3 linked regions of the Lepisosteus oculatus genome follow. The protein of the gene in region 3 purifies or fractionates together with the protein of the main gene of each other region. This does not show direct contact. Links are inferred from orthologs where the notes say so. Each region holds a gene or a part of one and is shown on either strand. Other genes may lie near its edges. The genes, in order: fip1l1a, ube3d and cpsf3.

Evidence for each region.
Region 1: the proteins of cpsf3 (region 3) and fip1l1a purify together in Homo sapiens (affinity purification with mass spectrometry; 5 studies listed by BioGRID and IntAct, with this or other methods). This does not show direct contact. The link is inferred for Lepisosteus oculatus from reciprocal best matches to the Homo sapiens genes CPSF3 and FIP1L1.
Region 2: the proteins of cpsf3 (region 3) and ube3d purify together in Homo sapiens (affinity purification with mass spectrometry; 4 studies listed by BioGRID and IntAct, counting the BioPlex papers as one, with this or other methods). This does not show direct contact. The link is inferred for Lepisosteus oculatus from reciprocal best matches to the Homo sapiens genes CPSF3 and UBE3D.

The regions. Positions count from the first base shown.
Region 1 is NC_090696.1:78,304,897-78,311,820, reverse strand, and holds the start of fip1l1a (pre-mRNA 3'-end-processing factor FIP1), read right to left. Parts: upstream 3,104-6,924; 5' UTR 3,087-3,103; coding exon 3,085-3,086; exon of another isoform or gene 3,081-3,084; intron 2,345-3,080; coding exon 2,253-2,344; intron 1,728-2,252; coding exon 1,664-1,727; intron 811-1,663; coding exon 753-810; intron 180-752; coding exon 79-179; intron 1-78. Other genes in the region: scfd2 (sec1 family domain-containing protein 2), read left to right, coding at 3,295-4,108, 5,317-5,485.
Region 2 is NC_090697.1:31,281,935-31,289,820, forward strand, and holds the start of ube3d (E3 ubiquitin-protein ligase E3D), read right to left. Parts: upstream 3,017-7,886; 5' UTR 2,929-3,016; coding exon 2,852-2,928; intron 1-2,851. UniProt on the Homo sapiens protein: E3 ubiquitin-protein ligase which accepts ubiquitin from specific E2 ubiquitin-conjugating enzymes, and transfers it to substrates, generally promoting their degradation by the proteasome.
Region 3 is NC_090697.1:12,017,325-12,024,687, forward strand, and holds the start of cpsf3 (cleavage and polyadenylation specificity factor subunit 3), read right to left. Parts: upstream 3,056-7,363; 5' UTR 2,950-3,055; coding exon 2,879-2,949; intron 1,907-2,878; coding exon 1,843-1,906; intron 1,717-1,842; coding exon 1,619-1,716; intron 944-1,618; coding exon 815-943; intron 368-814; coding exon 190-367; intron 1-189. UniProt on the Homo sapiens protein: Component of the cleavage and polyadenylation specificity factor (CPSF) complex that plays a key role in pre-mRNA 3'-end formation, recognizing the AAUAAA signal sequence and interacting with poly(A) polymerase and other factors to bring about cleavage and poly(A) addition.

The sequences.
Region 1 (6,924 bases), on a different chromosome or scaffold from region 3:
ATATATTTTCTTTTTGATTCATTATTTAATTTGAAGCTTTATAGTGGCTTTACTAAGTGCAACCTTAACAATACTCACGCGTACTGAGGAGCCCCGGTCTTAATATCTCCAATCGTGACACGAACATCGTCGTCGTCGTCATCGCTGTCACTGTCGCTGTCATCGTCTTCGGCCGTGTCCTGGGACCACAGTGTGAATGAGCTCTTGAGAAGCGCCCAGGAGCAGTGGGCGGAGCTACGTGACACAAGGCCACTTTCTGGGCTGAGCGACAGCCCTCTAGTACAGAAAACAACCCCAGAACAACCATGTGGCGCCCGCCCATCGAGTACAGCCACAGGTGGAAAGAGAAAGTGAAAGGCAAACCCTAGCATGCTCAGTCTGTTTACTGAAAGACACGGGTCACCGGCATGACGATATTAATGCAGAATTTAATTTCACTGTTCATATCAGTACATCAATTTGCTATGCTTTCTTGCCAGCACTTTGTATTTGCTTCGGTCTGCTACTGCTCAGCATTAACAACGTGTATGATTGTAGGAGTCAGCTGTACACAGATCCTGCTTTCTCAGCACAGCGACAACCCACACGGTCTTGCTAAAGCACAATCCATGATCTCACAGTTAAACAAGAACAGCGCCTAATGACAATACGCGCAAAAGAACATTTTATGCTGCCTGACAGCTCAACATGTTGTGCTCGGGCCACCGCTACCCCTGGCAATGCCAGGGGAAGCCGAGCGACGGGAGTGTTACCTGCTTGGCTACTCCGTTTCCAGTGGCTTCCTCTTCTGCTGCGGGGGGAGGGAACGTGCTGTGAAAACAAGCCGACACGAGGGTTAGCAAACGCAAGGACAGAGCGCCGGGCGCACTGATCATCGCCAGCAGGGAGAGTGAAGACAGTGCCTCCTGCCACAGCAGCTCAGCCCCGCTGCCTAGATGCTAAATGAACCCCACAATCAGGCGGGAAGCGTTTTCTGCCCTCCATCGTTAAAATGTCATTGAGTTTTAACACTGCATGGCAGGAGCGGACTGTGAATTTCAATAATATGGGTTCAATGAGTCAACCCTCGATGGCTTCTCACTAACAGGACATGCACAACACAGATGAATGACTGCTCTGAAACACGTCAGTGCCCACGTCTAGCTCTGGAAGCTTTATTCCTCATTCCAGTGAGTGAAGCTGGTGTTGCATCTTATTTAATGGCGTTGATGTCCACTACTCTGATTTGCCTCGTGTTAAAAATTCATGGTCATTGGAAACCAGATATATTATTTAGTTCTAATGAATTCTTTTCAAATCACCACCATGCATTCCCTTGCACAAACTAATATCTACTGATTCCACTGCAGGATTTTAAAGAGGACTACCGTGCCTCTTCATGCTTTGCCTGAGATGATACACAATGTGTATGCGCTGGATAAGACAGTCGATCTGTTTAACGCAACAATGCCTCGCGATTATTTTATGTCTTGTCACCCTGTGACAAGAGCGAAAGGCAGAACTGCCTCGTTTCCAAAAACAACTGAGCTCTTTTTAGCACTTCCCTCCTTCTGAAAAGATCTAAACGCGATGAGGCGCCGGGTGCGTGTGATCGTGATGAACACAACAGGCAGGTGCGCTCCCCATGCGCAGGGCGTGCAGACACCAGAGCAGACTCGCTCACCTGGTCGCCGCCGCCGCCTTCGCCGCCGCCTCATCCTCCTCCTCCGGCTTGTTGTCGTTCTCATCTGTCAGGAGACACAACGTCATTCAGGCGAGAACATGCCCGTTACATCGGCTGCGAGCCTCACAACCGCGCAAGTGTCATCGCAAGACGACGGCAACACGGACACACACGCAAAAAAAACAACAAGAACAGATTCTGACAGCAAATAAAACGGCTGAGTGAAACACTCGAAAAGCATCGATCTGCACTGACCACGGAACGCACCGCCCAGCGATGCCTCTGTTTCCTGCAGCTAAGTAAGCGAAATGCATTAACAGAATGAAAAACTTAAAACGGCGTTAGTTTATTTTCTGAAATTATCACTTAGGTCTTAAGACTTCTAAATTTAAAAAAAAAACCTTGCTTTCAGAAAACTCGTTGGGAACTACTCTGGCCAGAAGAAGCACAGGCCGCGATCACACGCAAAACTCTCCAGCAACCTGCCGGGAACTCCTCACCGGCATCGGCACCAGTCTCCCAGGCCCAGGAAATCCTCCTCCCCACTGCCGTGTTCCCCAGAATTGTGACACACTAATGAAAGCCCTACCTCCGTAAAGCCATTCCTCCTCCTCGTCTCCCGCACTGGCATCAGTCACTGCCGTCTTCTCTGCCTCTTCCGTAGACATGTTGTTTCCAAACCTGCAAGATGTTTCATAAAAACACTCCTAACACAGCTTTGGGTGAATTTGACCGCTGAAGTTTCTTCCTTCGCACAGACAGCAGGGCTCCTGGAGAATTTAGTTAGACTCGGTGCCGTTTAACCCATTGGGAAATGCTGAACTCGCAGGGTAACAGCCCAACACGTTTCTACAACAATAGCCCTTTCGCCCCTCACCCGGAAGCAGACAGAACCCGCTCCTACTGACCCGGGAAGTGCTTCTCCATTGGTCCAGCACGTCGTTGGGCAACAGGTCCGACTTTCAGTCAGAACCGAGCATTAGCAGTTTCAAGCAAAAATAGTTACATCTGGCTTCCTCCCCCAATATTGTCTTATATATTGTCTTGTCTACTAACACCCAGACTACGCTACGGAGGGTTATGAGACAATATAAATTCATACTGTCTTAAATGTACAGAACTGAACACAGGCTAAGTACTTTTTACGTGTTAAGAACCACATCTGAGGCCTCTGTCCTCTTCACAAATATTGGTTAATAATACACTTTAAGCCCCAGTCTGAACTTTAGTGCTGTATTACCAACAGTGGGAAATACAGGCAGTCCCTTCAAGTTGTTCCGATTTATAGAAAAAAAGAGGGCGTGTCTTATGTTTAATATAAAAAGCTGAAGTTCTGAAAACTGGACATCCCTTACTGTATTGATTAGACGCGGATATAATTAAACAATTTAAAGAGCAGACATGTTCTTCTACCTACCTACATGCTATTCTTGAAAAACAGGCACCGCGTATGCGCTTTCCTCTTACGTAATATTTACGCGACGTGAAAATGCCACGTCACCTTTGAGAGACACATGCATGTGTATTGTCGAGCGACTGGGAAGATTGTAGTTCTCAGACATTACCTTTCTTTAAATCTCTATTCTTGTACCTTTTTCCTTAGAAGAAAACAATCAGAGCGTTTGTAAATAATGGCATCCTCACCGGGGCTGGTAACCTTTCCGAGACAGGCGTGGGATAGTGTGCTGTCAAAGGTAAAGAAAGCGGTTGTTTTCATGGATGACAGGTGTTGCGAGAGCCTGCACTGGTGTGGAGGGACCGAGATGCTGCTCGCAGCCGGAGCCTGTAACGTCAAGCAGTTCTCTAGCTTTGAAGCTGGCAGCGCGAACGAGCCCAAAGCCGTCTTTGTCGTGAGCACGCTGCTGAAGGGCAGGACAGCGGACACCATCAGGGACATCATCGGCCTCAGCTCCTTCCAGTACTGCGTCGTGTTCACCGCTGTCGCACACTCCGTACACCTCCAAGCCAGCAGCGCCAGCCCGGAGGCGGAGGGGCGTCCCGCTTTCGAGCAGTTCGAGGACAGGCTGTGCGAGTGGATGGGAGACATGAATTACACGGCGGAGGTGATGCACGCCCCGCTGGTGTTCGCCCCCGTGTCGCCTCACCTGCTGGTGGCCCCCGCCTGCGGGGGGCTGTTCCCCCTGCTGTCCCGGGACCTCGAGCTGATCAACAGGGCCCGCCCGGACAAGAAGAAGCTCGCCAGCCTCGCAGACGCTGACATGCACTCCCTGCCCCCGGAGCTGCGGGTTCAGATCCGGACCCTGGTATCCGGGCTCAGCTCCATGTTTGACTGTCTCAACACACGGGAGGAGTGCTTCGCGGTGGGCCCCACGAGTCGCCTGATAGCCGGGGAGCTTGCCAACCACCCTCAGGCGAAGAACAGGAGGAAAGCGGCCCCAAACAAAGCGTCGATAGTGTTCATTGACAGGACGCTCGATTTGGCAGGTAAGGCGCACCGACAGCACAAGCAGAAACGCCCCCAACACGCAGCAAATGCACACGCAGAAAAGCGCGCAGCAGGGAAAGATTGCTCTGAAATCCCTCGTCCAGACGCAGCCAGAGTCCAGCGCATCTGCTTTGAATGATGTGCTGCAGAAACAGCAAGGTAATGTCAGCTCCCCCTTCTGAGCCCTGCAGTCTATGAGGCACGCCGGGAGTCCGTAGTGCAGGAACGGTGTTATTCTTGTCTCGTGTTATTAAATGTCTGCCATTACTTACTTAACCTCTGTAGGCTAATGTTCAAAGAGAAGTATTGTGTGAACAAAGCACCCTAAAGTTTCCTGTAGATGAAAGAAGACCTCTTTGTTTCAGTCGCTGTCAACAAAGAAATGTGTTCCCTTCCACATGTACAAAATAATGTGAGGTCTGGCTCTTTTCACATTTACTTCTGTGACTGTTGAGTGGCTTCCAGAGTAATGAAAGCTCATGTCCATTCAGTCACTTACTAGATCAGGGGCCAGCAGGAGTTTCATGAAACAGGGACATTTCTGACACGGAGACTCTGAAACGCAAACCAGACCATGGCATCGAATAAAGAATCATGATAATGCCTGGAACTGCACACATATGGTGATGTTTTTACCGGGGCCAGAACCATTGCAATATTATTCAAGTTGCACACTAGCATAAAATACTGTGCTTCTTTTTTTATGACATTTTTTCAGATTGTTTTGGTTACCAGCGCTTTTGTAAGCACTGGAAGAGAAGGGTGTTTAGATTTGGCCCCTGTGGTCAAGTGGCATCATCATCATCATCTTGACATTGAGGTCTTGGATTTCTCATTCTGACAATGCTGATGTCTTTCAGCTTTCAGTTTTGTTGGAATGTTTCTAATTTCAAGACAATTAGTGTAGCCTTCAGTGAAAAAAGGAAAGCGCTTTTACAAATTGATTAAAAAAGTTACTGCTTTACACAAAGGGTTGTGGGAGTATGCAGCAAGTGTCCCAGCTGGTACCCTGGCTTCCTTCAAGACACGGCTGGCTGAGATCCTCGAATTGGGTCGAATTGCCTCCTCACTTACAGCCTTCCTCGTGCTCCTCGGAGCATGTTTCATCTGTGCCCTGATCTCTGATCATCGTGGGGGGGGGTCAGTCGACGGGGCGTTGTGGGGACCAGGATTGTGGTTCCTGATTTTGCGTTTGGCCTTATTCCAGGAGCCGTCGGGCACCATGGCGACAGTCTGGTGGAGAAGATCCTCTCGGCTCTGCCGGAGCTGCCGGGCCACCGGAACGACGTGCTGGTGGACATGCTGGAGCTGACGGCCCTGCAGGGGACCGCGGAGTCCCAGGGCATCATCGCACCAGGGTGCCTGGCGCAGCCAAAGTAAGGGCCTCTCCCCTCTCGGGGCCGTCGAGTGCGCTCGCCGCAGAGCCTGCATGAGTTTTTGAGCTTGAAAACGCGTCACGAAAAAGATCATATCCGGGGACCAACTAGCTGACTGTGATGTTTTGAAAAGCTCTATGGGTTTTTCAGTAACCTCATTGCCATCATTTTAATGAGACTTTGGTGTGGATAGTTTTTAAATGTAGTTCCTGAGTATTTTTCCTCAAGACGCTCTATAGAAGTCAGTTGAACTCTGTGGTCAAGTTAATTTCCATGGATTTAACATCCACGTGCAGGACTGCAGTGATGAGACCAAGACTTGTTTTCTTTTGGTCCTTCTTTCGTTCAGAAAGACATGATGCAACTTTTGTTTTTCCTTCAATGTGTCCCCGTGGGTTTGGCTTCTGCAGCATCTGAGCCAGGAAAAGGTGCCACTTTGGAGCAAAGGCTGGGCTCTTTTATCCGGAGATCGAGGTTCGAGTTTGACTTGAGTCATTTGCTGACTGGGACTGTGACACTCCAAACAGGGGTGCAGAGCTGCTCGAGAGTGAGTCCTGTAGCTTTCCAAAGTCTGTGCGAGCTTGCAGTGTTGTCTTTGCCATGGACACAGTCAGACACTCAGCTCTGGGCAGGAGTGCATGTTGCAGATACAGCATATGTGTTATCCTGGTCAATCTTGTGCTATAATAAGGGAGGTAGTAGCAAGTTCATGTGATTCCGAATGCAGAGGTAATAAACATGGCCAATTGAAATTATAAGAACAGGAATGAATGATCTTTAGTCACTCTTTCTCTTCTAGATGACATTTTCTGCCTGTTTCAGTCATCTCGCCCAATATGGATCGTTAAAATCCTCTTCCTTTCTGCTCCACTGCGCTGACCTTAAACATTTTCTGAACTAAAGCGAAATACAAGAACTTTCCCCTTTGAACTCTTTAACTGGTCATGGCAGTCCCTGTGAGCATGGTCGTGGTTTAGGTTAACTGTCGTCCGCTGTTGTATTGTCTTCGAGTGCGAAGCTCTGAAACTCCTGATGTTTATTTTCTCTAAGATGCCTGAGGCAGACAGGGCAGCGGAGCCCATCACTGCTGTGCTAGTTTGCTCAGTTTCTTTATTTTAACAACATGCAGTGCTTGTTGACTCATTTTTTCATATCCTACTTTCTTTTAAGAAAGCAGGAAATTTGACATCCCAATCACTTAGAATAAAAGCTTACATTTAATTAAACTTGCACCTTATAGCAGGAAATTGAAGTGGTAAATCTGCGCCAGTGCTTATGGTTTGGATTAATAATCATAATAATAACAGTGCCATTTTTTCATTCGACGTTTACCTTGGCTCACCAGAAAATCAGAAATCCCACGGAGATAGCTTGAAGTGTTCACGTTATAAAAACATATCTTCAGTTATTCCTTCATGTTTTGTTTATGATTTTGTCTG
Region 2 (7,886 bases), about 19 Mb from region 3:
GCTGGATACTGAAGGTACAGAAGGTGTAAAGTACATCAGATCACAAACGGCTTCCAAGCTGCAAAGGCCTTTAACATCATCTTTGGATCAGCACCCCTTACAAACGTTAGGAAGGAAATCCTCCATGTGCTTGCAAGAGTAAAAGAAGACTGATGTTATTACTGATCCAAGACAATGATACACAACTATCCAACTACAGGAGAGGGTGGATGGTGCTATACACATAACAATGTTAGGCCACAGCAACAGCCACAGGAAGCCAAAGAGCTTATGACATGCTGGACCACATTCAAATTACTCCCTTTATCACATCAGTTCAGCACTGGCTGTTTTTCAGCTCGACTGGTTTTAGGATGAATATCAAAAATACGCACCTGGCACTTTTCAAATAATGTGGTCCTTTACAGTATCAGCTCAGATTATCATCTCAGGCTCTCGGAAAGTTTTGGCTAGGACTAGGAAAGCAGGACTTACAATTAATGGAAAGATCATATGCTGGAAACATCTGAAGAGTAATACTTAGGTTACAGCTTTGACATCAACATTCCACTAGCACAGAGTCCACAAGGTTAATAACACTGGGGAACGCCTTCAAGCAGCCAGGAGAAAATCCTTTCTTGATTTGATAAATACCATTCATTCTAGTATCTACAAACTCTGAAGCAGCAGCAATGCTTGTTTGAACACTAGCAGCTGAGAATTAACGAGTGCAGCTGAAGAATCTGATTAGATGTGATCCTGTGCTATACAACATGACTTCACTCAGCCCTTTGGTATCTACTGTACGTGGACATGCCATGCGGATCTGGGGTACTGTCTGTGTGGAGTTGGTATTTTCAACCCATGTTTGCGTGGGTTTCCACCAGGTGCTCCATTTTCCCCTCAGAATCCACAGACGTACTGGTAGGGTTCAATGTTTTTTGGGAAAACTGGCCCTAGGTATAAGTGTGTGCAGTTATGTCTGCCCTGAAATGGACTGGTGCTCCATCCAGGGTGTTCCTCACCTTGAAAGCATTGCATGCCAAGCTCCAGCACCCCCGTGACCCTGAATTGGATGAAGCTGTTAAGGAAATGGATGGATAGAATGATAAATAAACCCACCTGGTTTCCAAAAAGTATAGGTGTCCCCAGCAGTACCACCGACATCAATGGATCCGGGGATGAAAAGGAGAAAGAAATTATACTCTTTTAAGAAGTGATGATTTAGTGAGGCTCTAAATATTAAGATACATACACATGCATATTTTTAAAACATGCAAAGAAACCAGATAAACATTAAATGCGTTCCAGAAAAAAAATCTCACACTGCCATCTGGTGGCAAAGAAAGGATCTGGACTCTTTACCTATATTATCCAGAGACGGTAATATAGGTATCCCCAGTAATTTTAATTACTAACCAAACAATAAATGATATTTTAGAACAGAGGAAATTATTGTTTATTTAAGTTGTATCTGAGTGGTTTTTTTTATAAATGAATTATGTATATGTAATTTTTGTCTTTCATAAATGTGTTTAATAGTTTCAGTGAATGCCCTCTTTGTCTTTTGACCCACTTCCTTAAGCACCTTGCAAGAAAATCGTGATTATCAACAGGTTGATAACGTTGCTTTCAAGTGCCATTTAGTATCATAAGGACTCAGGAGCATCATAATGTTTTCAGTGTTTCTGAAAAACATCTAACTCTTCAAACACCTAATTCTAAATGCAAAAAAATTACTTAAATTTCTTAAAGTTGATTTCTTATTTATTCACTTCATAATTCTTTTTTCTAATTTTTATGCTTATCACGTCCACTTTCACATAAGAGATAATAAGCACCACCACAAAAAGTATAAAAAGACATTCATATTTTCACACACAATGTCTTACCATACAAATCACAGCAATGGTTCCATTTCATTAATAGGAGCAAGACATGGACTATATGGACTAGTTGTAACATCATATACACCTTTTGTGAGACATGTCAGCAATTCCATCAAGTGGAGATTTACAGTGATGGGTCATAAGAGTTGTGACAAATTCAAAATTCATGAATAAGCAGTTTAAAGCCTTTTATATTTACATTTACACAACATTGCCAGACAGTTTGATATATAGTTTTCACATAATAGGGATTTGTAAGCACAAGCATATCATTGAAAAAGTCTCGTCACACTTAAAATGTCACGCGTGCTCTTTTAACAGATGGATCTAAGATGTGAATGAAGTTCTAACTTTGGAAACAAAAGTGAACATAAACATTTTCATAACTGTAACAATTATTTAACATGTCCTTCTTGTTTTCAACATTGAATTGGGGGTGTACCAGACTGACTTGTCTTTTTAACCACAAATACTGCCCAAAAACTTTTATGTTGACATACTTCTAGGTTATGAAGTTTCAGGATCTAGCAATTGTAGCCCCAATTTCTAAAAATAAATCTCACACTGATATTTTGCTTCGTTTCTGTTTGTCTCGGCTACTGACGATGCATGCATTCAAACACAAAGTAGCCAAACAAACGAATTAAATTGTCATTAACTTGTTTCATTATTCACTTGTTTAAAAAGTTTATCAATTGTGAAAGGATGCTAAATATAATCGTGAGTTTATTATCTGTTCTTATCTGAACTCTTATTTTCTTTTCATTTCTGATATTGCAAGTGTAAAGGTAACTAAAAATAGGCTGTATTCATTATATTTGAATCAAGTTAAAATCACCGAATATTAAAGAAAATCGAAACATCAAATGTAAAGTAATAGCTTTATCTGAAAACACGAGATGTAATACTTGAAACTGGAACCTAATTTATTACTTTCAATACAGCATGTAGCACACTAATAAAATATTGAAAAATGGATTAACCTTAAGACCAAAAGTCCGCTTTGCAGTCGTGTTCTCAACTCCAAAAAGAATCCACTCTGATTTTCTGTTTTATCCATTATTTATTTTGTTTTAATATGATGGTTTTTAAACAATCACAGTCTACCACAATCTTCACTTCACCGCACGTTTGGAATCATCAACAAACCCCTCATGAATCCGGAAGAAAATTGCCGCCAGGGTCAGAGGTTATGAAAGCCTAGAGCAAGCGGTAAAGAATTGTACAGCGACATCTGCGGTGAGTGTCTGTAACTGCTTCTCATGGCAGCAAACTGAAAAAAATCGATTTTGCTTCTTTATTGTAATTAAAATCTTTTTAAAGGAGAGGGAAAATAAAGTAAATTAATTCGAAGATATATATATATAATAAAAACACCACCTTTAAAATAACTTTATATACAATTTAAATCATATATACACAGAATTGACTGATTAAGAGTATAATTAAATATGGAGCAGGGTTCTCAAGCTCGATTCCTGTGTCAAGTTACACTGTTATATCATTGTCTTATATGTCCATCCATCAATTTTCTAACCTCTTCATCCCTTTCGGTGTCACGGTAGCCCGCAGCTATACTAGCAAGAAATGGACGCAGTCGATCATGGGTCACACAAAGACATGCACACACTCGCATCACACACCAATTTTCATAGAACCCAGTATACCTACTAATACGATCATGGAGAGGAAGTATAAACAGTGAATTAGTTAATTGCACCACCATTAACTATACATATTTACAGTTTTGAGAAAACTGAATTATATTGTTTTCTGCATGAATGGCTCCTAAAATGTGATCTGATCTTAGTCTAAGTCAGGATAATAAATACAGTCTTATTTACCAAACGACACAACATTTTACATTGCCATATCTTTATTGAACAAATGATTTAAACAATGTGTAGTAACTAGTGGAACCTTCTTTATTGGCAATAACCTCAACCAAAAGCTTTCTATAGCTGCTGATCAGGCCTGTGCAGCACTTAGGAGGTATTTTTGGCCCATTCCTCTATACAACACTGTTTTAGTTCATGTTTATTTTTGGGATGTCTTGCTTGAATGGCCTGCTTCAGATCACACCACAGCATTTAAATGGGATTGAGGTCAGGACTACAATTTGGCCATTCTAAAATACAAATTTCTTCTGTTTGAGCCACTCTGTTGTTGATTATGTCATTGTCATGTTGCATGACCCAACTTCTTTTGAGTTTTAGATCACAGACAGACACCCTGACATCCTGCTGTAGAATTTCCTGATACAACTTGGAATTCATTGGTCCCTCAATGATTGCAAGCTGTCCAGGCCCTGAGGCTGCAAAGCAGCCCCTCACCCTTATACTCTCTCCACCCTGCTTCATAGTTGGGATGAGGTTTTGGTGTTAATATGCACCAAACATAATACTGTGTACATTTACCAAAAAGAAAAACTTTTGTCTCATCTGTCCACAGAACATTGTTACAGTAGTGTTGTGGAACATCCAGGTGGTCTTAAGCAAACTTGAGACGGGCAGCAATGTTTTTTTTTTTGGAGAGCAGTGGTTTCCTCCATAATAACCTCCCATGAACACCACTCTTGTTCAGTGTTTTTCTTATGGTACACTCATGAACACAGAAATTATCAAGTGCAAGAGATGCCTGTAGATCCTTAGCCGTCACCCTAGGGTTCTTTGTCACTTGAAGATTATACGGCATGCCCTTGCACTAATCTTTGTAGGACTCCCACTCCTGGGGAGAGTACCAACAGTGGTGAATTTCTTCCAGTTGTAAACTATCTGCCCGACTGTGGACTGATGGAGGCCCAAGTCTTTAGAAATCCTTTTGTAACCCTTTCCAATCTTATGAGTTTTAACAACCCTTCTTCTGAGGTCCTCTGAAATCTCTTTCGATCTGGCCATGTTGCACTTCAACAAAATTCTGTCATAAAAAGCAAGTAACCCCTTGTGTGATTTTTTATATGGCAGGGCAAGTCAAACCCACACCTGAATCGATTGGAACACCTGACTCCAATTACCCTCTTTTCAAGATGTCATTATCCTAGAGATCCACCTACTTTTTCCATCAGTAGCCTTGATTGTTTAAACCATTGGTTCAATAAAGATATTACAATGTAAAATGTTGTGTGTAGCACCCTAAGAAGGCTCCACAGCTGAAACGTTGTGTTTTTCTTCTCTTTTCAGAATTGGAATAAACCTTTACTTGTTCCTTTGCATACTGACTATAGTTTCTAATCTAAATATAAACTTGTTTACAGACTAAAATAACCAAAATATTTCAAATGTATTTGCAGATCATATATTACGATGAGACTGCCAGCTTTCCTGTAAAGATACAGTAAATATTCGTTATTTAAGCTGCTTCACTTTACCACCAGATGGCATCCGGCTCACGCCACCTGCTGGCCGATCATGAAAGCAGCGGTTTCGATTTACGAAAAATAGAAACTAAAAGTGGAAAATTAAAAACAAAAGTTATGGGTGTGTGCGTCACATATAAATATGAATTAATTAACTGCTTGGTTGGAATATTTCTAAATAGTCTCGTGTGTGTTTTAGGTAAATGCAAGTTCAATTAACTAATATAAAACCTATAAATCCCGACTAATAAACTAATAAGAGTAACTGATCAGGTTGTCTTTTCGAAAGACATAAAGACACTGGGCCCCGCAGTGTATGATACGGATACCATATTACATTATTTGAAAAACACGAATTCATTGCAATTTAGACTTTTAGCAAGTGCTTTCAAGCAGTGTGAGAGAGTACAAGATCCCTTCAACTCTGAGTCTCCGAGGTTGGCAGACTCACCAACTGGAGTGGAGAGGGGGGACCAACTACTTCTCGTCATGCAGCACACAGCTTGTATACTATGTACAGTGTACATTTGGTGGAATATCATGTGAAGCATGATTTTCCATCTTGTATTTAAGTCCTAGCTTTTGTGATAGTGTTGCACTTCAGGAATGAAACGAAGTATCACTCTCTTTTAAATGAGGTTCACGCGGTTGGTTTAAAACGCAGCCTCGCTCGCGCCGATTGCTGGCCGTTAAGTAAATATGCAGTCGATCCACACATATTATTACCACCACCACCACCAATAATAATAATAATAATAATAATAATAATAATAATAATAATAATAATAATAATAATAATAATAATGGAACAGGTAAATTAAATTACTTAAATTTACAGTGATCCATTTATCACCATCGCTTTATTTAACTAGACCACTTATGGTAATACTTTAACAGGGAAGTCGCTATCAGTCTTCTTGTTACTTTGACAAACGCTGAGTGTTACATGTTCACAACTACAGTACTCGGATCGGTCGCGATCGGTGCGGAACCTTTCAGCAGGGGTGCGCGCAGAGTCGGGAGCCGTGAGTGCGGACCACGAGCCGCAGTGCTGTCTGGGAGCTGTCAGCTGGACTTGGGCTTTGTGTGTCATAGTCATAGATCTGCAGTCGGGGCAGAGAGGAAATCAGGGATGAGCTGCCCGGGCGTCCTGTGGCATGTTTACGACATTCTGCTGACCCGGAATGATGTAGGATACCCACACGTTTTACTGGATTACGTAGTTTCTTTTCTGCTCTAGTACCAGCGTTTTTCCGAGTGACAAGGGCCCTATATTTCTTGAATTGCTGTTATTCAGTGTTAAGTCCCTGCCCTAGCGTAGACAACCTTGTTTTTCTTTCATATATTTATTGGGTGGTTCATAACCTACAGACGGTAAGCACACTTTATATCGGCATACATATTTAAATGACGTTTTTTTGTACATCTTTTTAACTGAAACTGATTGTATGAGAGCACGACTTTTTTTTTAGACAAGATTGCTTCTTGGTGAAGATGCTGTGACATGACAGTTACAGATCTATTATGATGAAAAGATCCCTAAAATAAAGGCGACATCCATTTTTCTTGCGATCTGTAACTAAAATGTGTTAGTATATAAATCCAGCTGTTTCCGTTTTTAACACAAACACGTTTTCCTTTTAGCTATGGATGCCTTAATACAGAAAAGAGCATTCTTATTCATCTATAATAATCATATATTGACCATTTTGTGTCGCAGGCCGAATCGAAATACGAGTACCGTGCTTCTAGTTTATTGTCATCGACATCTGGTGATACAAATGCAGGAGTAAAAGCAAAGACTTCCTTCAAGTGCCGGAATCATTGAGTGGCTCTGTTACAGTGCTTTAGAATATTATGCTCAAAGCTTTGGTCCAGGAAAGAAGAATAGTAGGAATTCTTTATTTTCTTCGACAAATATATATATATAGTTATGCATTTGAGCATATATTTCATTTTAAAATATTTTTTTTTCTTGCGAAGTAGGATGCCCTTTGAATATGTATCACTGTTTGAACTGCAGTACTTTTACCACTACTGGTATTTCCACAGCTCTGTATGATACGCTTTTTCATGTGCTGTCATCCTCAATTCCTTTAAGGGAACATTGTTACCTGGACAGCTACATGCTAACGACTTCTTTGGCTTATGTACCAATGGGCACATCAGTCATTCTGAAAACTGAAACATGATTCATTGAACTCTGCAGTCTTTTGTCATTTATTGAAAATCGGCCCAAGACTTGTGTGTTGTACACCACAAATGCTGACGATAGGATTTGGAGAAATGCACCAATCCAAGTGCATAGGAAGTGATACTAATTTCAGTTCTCGGTGCTTTGGAGGAAAGTACTGATGTTTTGTTTTCAACGGTAGGAACTGTAATGATATACGTTCAAACATCCCTGAGTTAATGATGTTAAGTTAACACGTTCTTGTACAGGTGAATAGTCCCTTTGAACTTTAGGAATGTTCAAGACAGAAGTTAAGGAGCCCACAGTTATATGATGTATTGCCCCAAACAATAAGTAGCACATGAGAATGGAGACAAATAGGATTCACGTGCACATACATGAAGCAAATGTAGATTGTGACTTGAATAGTGAAATTGTATTGGTTCTTGATATTTTTCAAGCTTGAAAATATATTTTCTATGTTTTTGCC
Region 3 (7,363 bases):
TACAGAAAACTAAGTCTATCATATTACTAGACTGAAGAAAAATGCAGGATATCTTAATGTTTAAAAACACATATCTACTCTAGCAGAACTACAGCTTTTCTGTGTTTAGGGCTCAGGAGCAAAAATACAATCTCGTCCGCACCGAACAGCTCCAGTTAAAGAGCAGTGTAGCGTAGGGCAAAGTCCCACCTTCACACCAGCGATTTCAATCATGAACATGGCCGCCCCCAGAACATGGCCCGCGTGGTAGCACCAGAACTTGATGCCTGCGACCTCCTTCACTTCGTGGAAGTTGATCGTCTCTATCTTGTCCATGCTCTCCTCCAGATCTGTCTCTGTGTACAGCATGTCATCCGCTGAAATGTTGCTATGGTCAAAGAGAACAGGCAGGGAGTGTTTAAACAGAAACAGCAATCGGACATTTAAAGGATACTTGAAGTGATCTTGAGGTAATTAAGTCACACTGCATTGTTTTTGCAGATGTTCCCTTTGATCTTATATTTCTGTGGCACATAAACATCAATCTTGGCAAAAAGGTCAATTTTTGACTTTGGAAAAGCAGCTTTCTGGTCACCCTACTGCATAGCAGGAAAGGAAAGAAGTCACATACAGGATGAACGAGATGAAGGAAAAATATACAAGGATGACAGACATCTAACACTACATCTAACAATATCTCGCACGTGGATCCATCCAAGTCTAACAATGAATTATTGGTATAAACTCTGATAACACATTGTACGTTTTTCAATCCACATACAGTAATATGCTGAGGTTTCCTGTCATAAGAAGAAAAACAAAAACAATCACCCACCTGACTTTAACATAATCTGACAGCAGCCACCTGTAAATGGCTTTTGTGGCGTGAGTCATGAATGTCCTCCCCTTAAAGCTGGTCTTCTGCAGGAACCAGGGCAAAGCGCCACAGTGATCCAGGTGGAAACTACCAGACACAATATGCATGTTTCAATAACGAACTGGCACACGTCTTAATTCAATAAGGGCACGTCTCTTTGGGCAGAAGGATGACTGTCAGTTCTTGTCCTGGAGCTCCCCTGTGTTATCATGTTTTCACTTCAGCAAAGCCTTTAACCACCCAAGACCCGCTGATGGCATCTGTAAATGAAATTCTTGCTTGGTCCGACTTTTTTAACCTTCTTCTATGCTCATTCTTCAGTTTTAAAAATACTCTTCTGCAGATCTTTTACAAAAAAAAAACAGCAGACAGAGTGCTGTCCCCTCTCTTCCCCTTGCATATTCAGAGGCAGCAACCTATTAAGTGTTTATGCAAATCTAAAAAGCCCTTATTATTAGATGCCTAATTCAAGGTGTCAACAACACTGTGTTGAGGGGAACAACACTGTATCAGACCATCCCAACAAGTTTTGCTCTTTCCATAAAACAAGAGAAAATATCTGTGCAATATTTGCACCTCTGTGTTCTGCCCAAGTTGAACTGTTTACATTCGACACTGGAACTGAAATGGGCTTGAAACCCAGGAAGTGGCTGTTCCTAGGAATTAGCCTGACCGATTAAAGGAAGGCAAGGACTGGCTAAAAGACAAAGGGGTGCTCTGGGGCCAGGGCTGAGGGCGACCGGAGCGGCTGGTGGTACAAACTGGCTGATCAGGAGGAGGTCAATCTCCGCGGGGTCTATCAAGTCGATGTAGGGGAGCGCGTCCATGCCCTCCAGGCCTGGGTGGATACCACAGTCCAGCTGGGGAAAGAGAGACAGCGCATGGCACCTCTTCTCCAGGTGTCACCCACCCGCCACAGAACTGTGACACCGAGTGTCTGCCCCACCCCGCAGGGGGAGCCTGAGACAGAGCAGGCAGTGTCCTACCATGATCTTCCTTCCCTTGAACTCCAAGATGATGCATGATCTTCCCACTTCCTGTCCGGCGCCACTGAGGGGACCATGAAAAACAGAACACCCTTCTTTAATTCGAGACTCGAGAGGAGGAACTGCATGAAGCAAGTGCAGAGCCTTCCTTTTTTTCCAATTTCCAAACCTGCACAATGTACACTCAAAGAATGCACCGCATTTACAAAACGAACAATTTTAGGGAATTCAAAAGTAAAAAGCAGCTTAGCATGAAAAAAACAATAACAGCTTTAAAAGTCCCCCAATAGATAATGTTCACAAAGTTCAAACGTGCGTTCTCTTTTTCAAGAAATCTAAGTAAGGAACCTAGGATTTGTTGCACCAGAGAAACATTGTAAAATGAAGCTTTCTTAATCTCTTGGTTAAGTCTGCACACCCTATTTATTGAGAATCTGTCTTTTTAAAACTATTAAAATGATATACATCTGGAAAATAGATTTTGGAACCACATATGCAACAGAAAACTGAGTTGTACTGGTCCAAGCAAATACCTTATAATACTAAGACTAATGAACTTTACTGATGTGAACATCAGTCTGGTTTCCTTTGCGTCTACATTTATTTTAGACTACTAAATAAATGAATAAAACTGTAAGAGACCTAAGAACTCTCTGTTGAGATTCCTGTATAGATAAACCCCCAATGTATAATGAAATGTATCCGAACTGTTTTTGTTCCCAATCATCAAGAGTACATAAGGGTCTTTGTGATGTTTAGAAAACTTGTATCAATCAATTACATACAATTACACGTTGTATTACGTACAAAATATACATAAATGAAAATCAACACAAAAATAATTTCGAGTAGCCGACAATGTAGTATGCGTTCGTCTGCACCAAATTAATAGTTTCCGTGGGAAATACTCTTACACAACTGGACATACTACTTTCTATACCGGTGCACTGCTCCTTACTGAATCTCCCGCGACACATTACACAGGCACTCATGGCTGTTCACTGTAACCCACAAACGCAAACCACAGCACACTTACAGGGGTCTAATTAATAACTGATCGCTTTCCTCCGCTGGTACCAAAATATCGGCTTTTCGCTTCGCAGCCATTAAACAACCAGTTCTATTTCATAAGTCATGAAACAATGTTAACAGCAAAAACTTGGAGCACCACTCTGCCTCATAATCACTTGCGCGAAACAGGACAACTTCCGGTTCTGCGTGCAAAATACGTCCCTACTGAAACTATCCCTATCGATCTTTGGTTCCGACATCATTGTTACTAACGGAATACACGCAGTGAGTCTGTGTGTACCTACTGCATAAAAACTCTAGAGAGTATAGTTCTTCATTACTACAGTTTAGACTTTTCGAGTATCACTAAGTATTTCAATAAACCGCAAAATATTCCTTGAAACATATTTTTCTATCTGGGACATAGAATCCAACGGTGATGGGTGTATTCACATCAAAATGTACATATGTCCTCTCCTTACTCAACGCTCTCTGTTAAAGTAACCTTTTTATTTAAGTACTACTAATACTTAAACGTGATGTGTTCTGAAAACTCGAAGAACAGAATTTCAATAAGCCAGCTTTCAGTGAAGCATCAGCAGTTTTAATGAAAAGATTTCAGCTGCAATTGCAGGGTGGCAGGGTGATGCAGTGGTTAGGATTTCCGCATCCAGGGTGTATCCTGCCCTGCTCCCGTTACATGGCTGGCTGTAGAGAAGACCAACACGATACATTCTGGGAATGTCCTACACTGACAGACTGAAAGACCTGCACCTTTTTATTCTTAAATGGACGAAATTCTGAGAGGCCCTGATACAAGTATCCCAGCTTCTCGAAGGCTTCAACAAAGTCAACCCAGCAGATTTCTTCAGAATGAGCAGTGAAACATGAACCAGGGGACACAAGTAGAAACTACATGGAGGTGCATTTAAAACTGAGAACATGAGGCATAACTTTACGCAAAGAGTTGTGGGAGTCTGGAACAAACTACCCAGCCATGTTGTAGAAGCCACACACTAAATCATCTGGAATCTAGATCAAGTTGCTACTAACTACCAAACAAGCTAAATGGACTGAATGATCTCCCCTCATTTGTAATCTTTCTTATGTTAGACAACTAGTTGGTAATATATCAGTATTCAATCCTGCTAACAATAACACGCTGATACACACAGACAACAACATATAGTAGAAGCTTAAACTTATCTTAAACGAATTTCAATTTGTAAACAAAATTAAAACTATGAATCTGTCATTATCCGTTTAAACGCCAGAAAATAAAAAATGGAAAGGCTGCAAATCAATTTCCTTGAATTCAAAGTGGTATTAGGCGCTCTGTGTTGTTGATTTTACAGATAGCTATTAAGTAATCCAAAAATCTGGGTAGATGGGAATTCTGAAGACCTGGAGCAGTTTAATTGTGATCACTTGCAGGCGGGATGTTAAAGTCAGGGCAGGAATGGGCCATGAAGGTCACTGTTGCTTCCTCACAAACGTTTGGACCCTGGGCTAGATCTGGTCTGGGTCACCTTATTGGGGGGAGTATGCATGTTCTCACAGCGTCCACCCAGCGGGCCTGGGTTCGATCCCAGACCTGGGGTGCTGTCTGTGCAGAGCGTAGTAGTAGGTTAATTGGCTCCTGGGGAAATTAGCCCTGGTGTGAGCGTATGTGCTCTGCTGTCGTACCCTGCCTTACGCCCTACACGCCCCGCGACCCTCAGTTGGATAAAGCGGTGATTTAAAGTGTGACGCGATTCCCGCGAGTTTGTAGTAGCGGGAACACGCACTGAGAGACAGTGACGTGAATCAGGACCTGCGCCTCACGCCATCATCTCTGGAGCTACTGTAAATGCCGTGCTAATTGTTCCGGCCTCGCTGTCCACCCTGTAATTCATCGGCCGTGCCAAAGAATAAAGCGCTCTTAGTTTCAATTTGAGAGCCTCGGGTTTGGACTCGTCCGTCTTACAACAAGCAACGAAGCGCGCCCTTCCAATTGTGACCGTCGCCATGGAGACATAAACACACTTCCTGCTGTCTGGCGTTTGCGCCACACGACGCCGGGAATAGGAATGGGGTTTCACCACACAAACACAGCGCCGTGACGACCCGCGATTCGGGCCCGGTTCGCCGGGGGGGTTGTGTGGGTCGCGTCTCCTTTAAGCGGTGTGGGTGGAGCCCAAAGGAAGTGACGTGTCTGCCCGAGCCTCGCCAAAAACACAGACCCGGAGACTACAAGCCTGGCCGAAATAACGCCCAGCCCCGTCGCGAACGGGCTCGTTAAACACGTATAAAACGAGGTATGAGTTGAACAGCTGCTTGAATTATCTCATCAGTCCGACCTGCCAGTTTTCTGATTTACGGTGAAGGGCTGTGCGGTTAAAAGGTGATTGGAAAGAAATGTCAATGAAACGAGGATGCGATGAGGGGGTTGTGGGTGGGGTGGAGAGTTTAGCCTGGCAACGGGTTTCCGTTACTTCAGCTGGGAGTTTTTTTAATTAACGATCTGAGGACGGTGGGTTGAAATTCTCAGTGAGCTCGACTCTCAGATGCCCGCTGTGTGTCATTCACCTGCTGTGCGTTTCTCACGCCGCGCTGGCTTCAAAGTTACATTGTAGGCAAGTTGTGCGAAAGTGGACTTGGCAGGGAGAGCGGTAGGATTATTTATGTCAGCCCGATTGTGAGGCTGTACAAAATTGCATCCCACTCAGTATGGCTCTTGTTACTTAAAGTGCTTCAGTTTGATGTTTGGGACCGTTTGTTCTAGTTTTCTTTCTCGTATCGGCAAGCTCAGCGGGAAGATCGAGACAGATGAGTGCACCTATATCATTGTCCCGAACTTCTTTTTCTTTTCTCTCTCACAAAGACTGTTTTAAAAGCCTGTCAGATGCAACAGGAAAAAAAACTCGGCCTCACGCCTTTGCAGTTCAGAAATGTTAAGCGAATTCACACGAGTCAAACCTCCGAGCAGAGGAAACCGGAGAGTGACAGATGGAGACCGCAAAGCCTCAGGAGACCGTACAGACAGCTGCTGTAGGATTGTCAGTCGGGTCGTAGTGGCTGTAACCCCTGCAGAGACAGTAATAGGCAGTATGTTAATGGTTGAAGAACATGTAGAGACATTCCAGCATAGGAAACAGGAAATTCAAACGGCATCCGCATGCAGTAGGAGCTGTTTTCATTGAGAGGCAGGACAAGTCTTGCGTATTGCCTCTAAATGGAAGACAAGTGGTGGTGTGAACAGTTGACTGTTACAATCGACTTTTTGCAAAGAGTCAGGATGAATTAGGAAAAAAAACTCAAAATAGTCTACACTATTATTACATTTCTAAAAAATGCTGTGAGTGTTCCCTAGGGACTGTTAAGCAGGTATTTCAGCTGTCAGGTGATTCGTGCTCAAATGTGAGTGGATGAGTTTTAAATTGGAAGCAGTGTGATAAACCATTACGTCCGACAGCGTCGGTTTATTCTTTATTTACTGTCTGGCAGCCCTAGTAGGATGTTCATTTTCGCAGAACCTAGCAGACATATGAGCTCTCAACGGAGACACATTTTTAGACTGTGTTTGTGTGCAGGTGCTCCTAGCCCTCCACAACCTTCAAATCCTTCCAGAGAGGCTGGGCAGTCTACACCTGGTGCTCAATAGCAGAGACAGTGAGACAGACCAGGAGCCCTTTTCTAGTTTCTACAGTGCGCCTTTGACCACAGACTGACTAGGGCAGACATCATACTCTAAGGGCCATTTGGTTTTTATTCCATCCGAGCTCTCAGTTATTTAGTGGGGCTAATTATTTAATTATCTTGCATAATGGTAATACTTCTGATATTGTAACTGTACTTGAATAAAGTGAATATTTTCATTAATCAACTGCAACAGATTTTATCAAAGAAAAACATATTCCCACATAGTAACGGGGACACTTTGCTGTAAAAAAGGTGCTGTCCTTCAGATGAGACGTAAAACCGAGGTCCTGACTCTGTGTGCATTGAAAATCCCAGGCTGTTTCTCGAAAAGAGTAGGGGTGTTACCCCAGCGTCCTGGCCAGATTTCCCCCTGGCCTTTACCAGTCATGGCCTCCTAATAATCCCCATCCATGAACTGGCTTCGTCACTCTGCTCTCCTCCCCACTGAGAGCTGGTGTGTGGGGAGTGTTCTGGCGCACTATGGCTGCCGTCGCATCATCCAGGTGGGGCTGCACACTGGTGGTGGTGGAGGGGAGTCCCCATTACCTGTAAAGCGCTTTGAGTGGGGTGTCCAGAAAAGCCTTATATCAGTGTAAAGTATTAGTATTATTATTACCAGTTTTTATTATTATAACTGTCTTTGGACTGTGGGAGGAAACCAAAGCACCAGTCAGAAACGAGGACAAACACAGGAAGAATATACAAAATCCACACAGAGAACTCCCCAGGCAACTATGCTGCCCAAAACCTCCCAGGTCCAGGTACTCCAGGTCATGTCCTCTCAGGTACATAAGAAAATAAGATCATTGTGTAATTATAATAATAATAA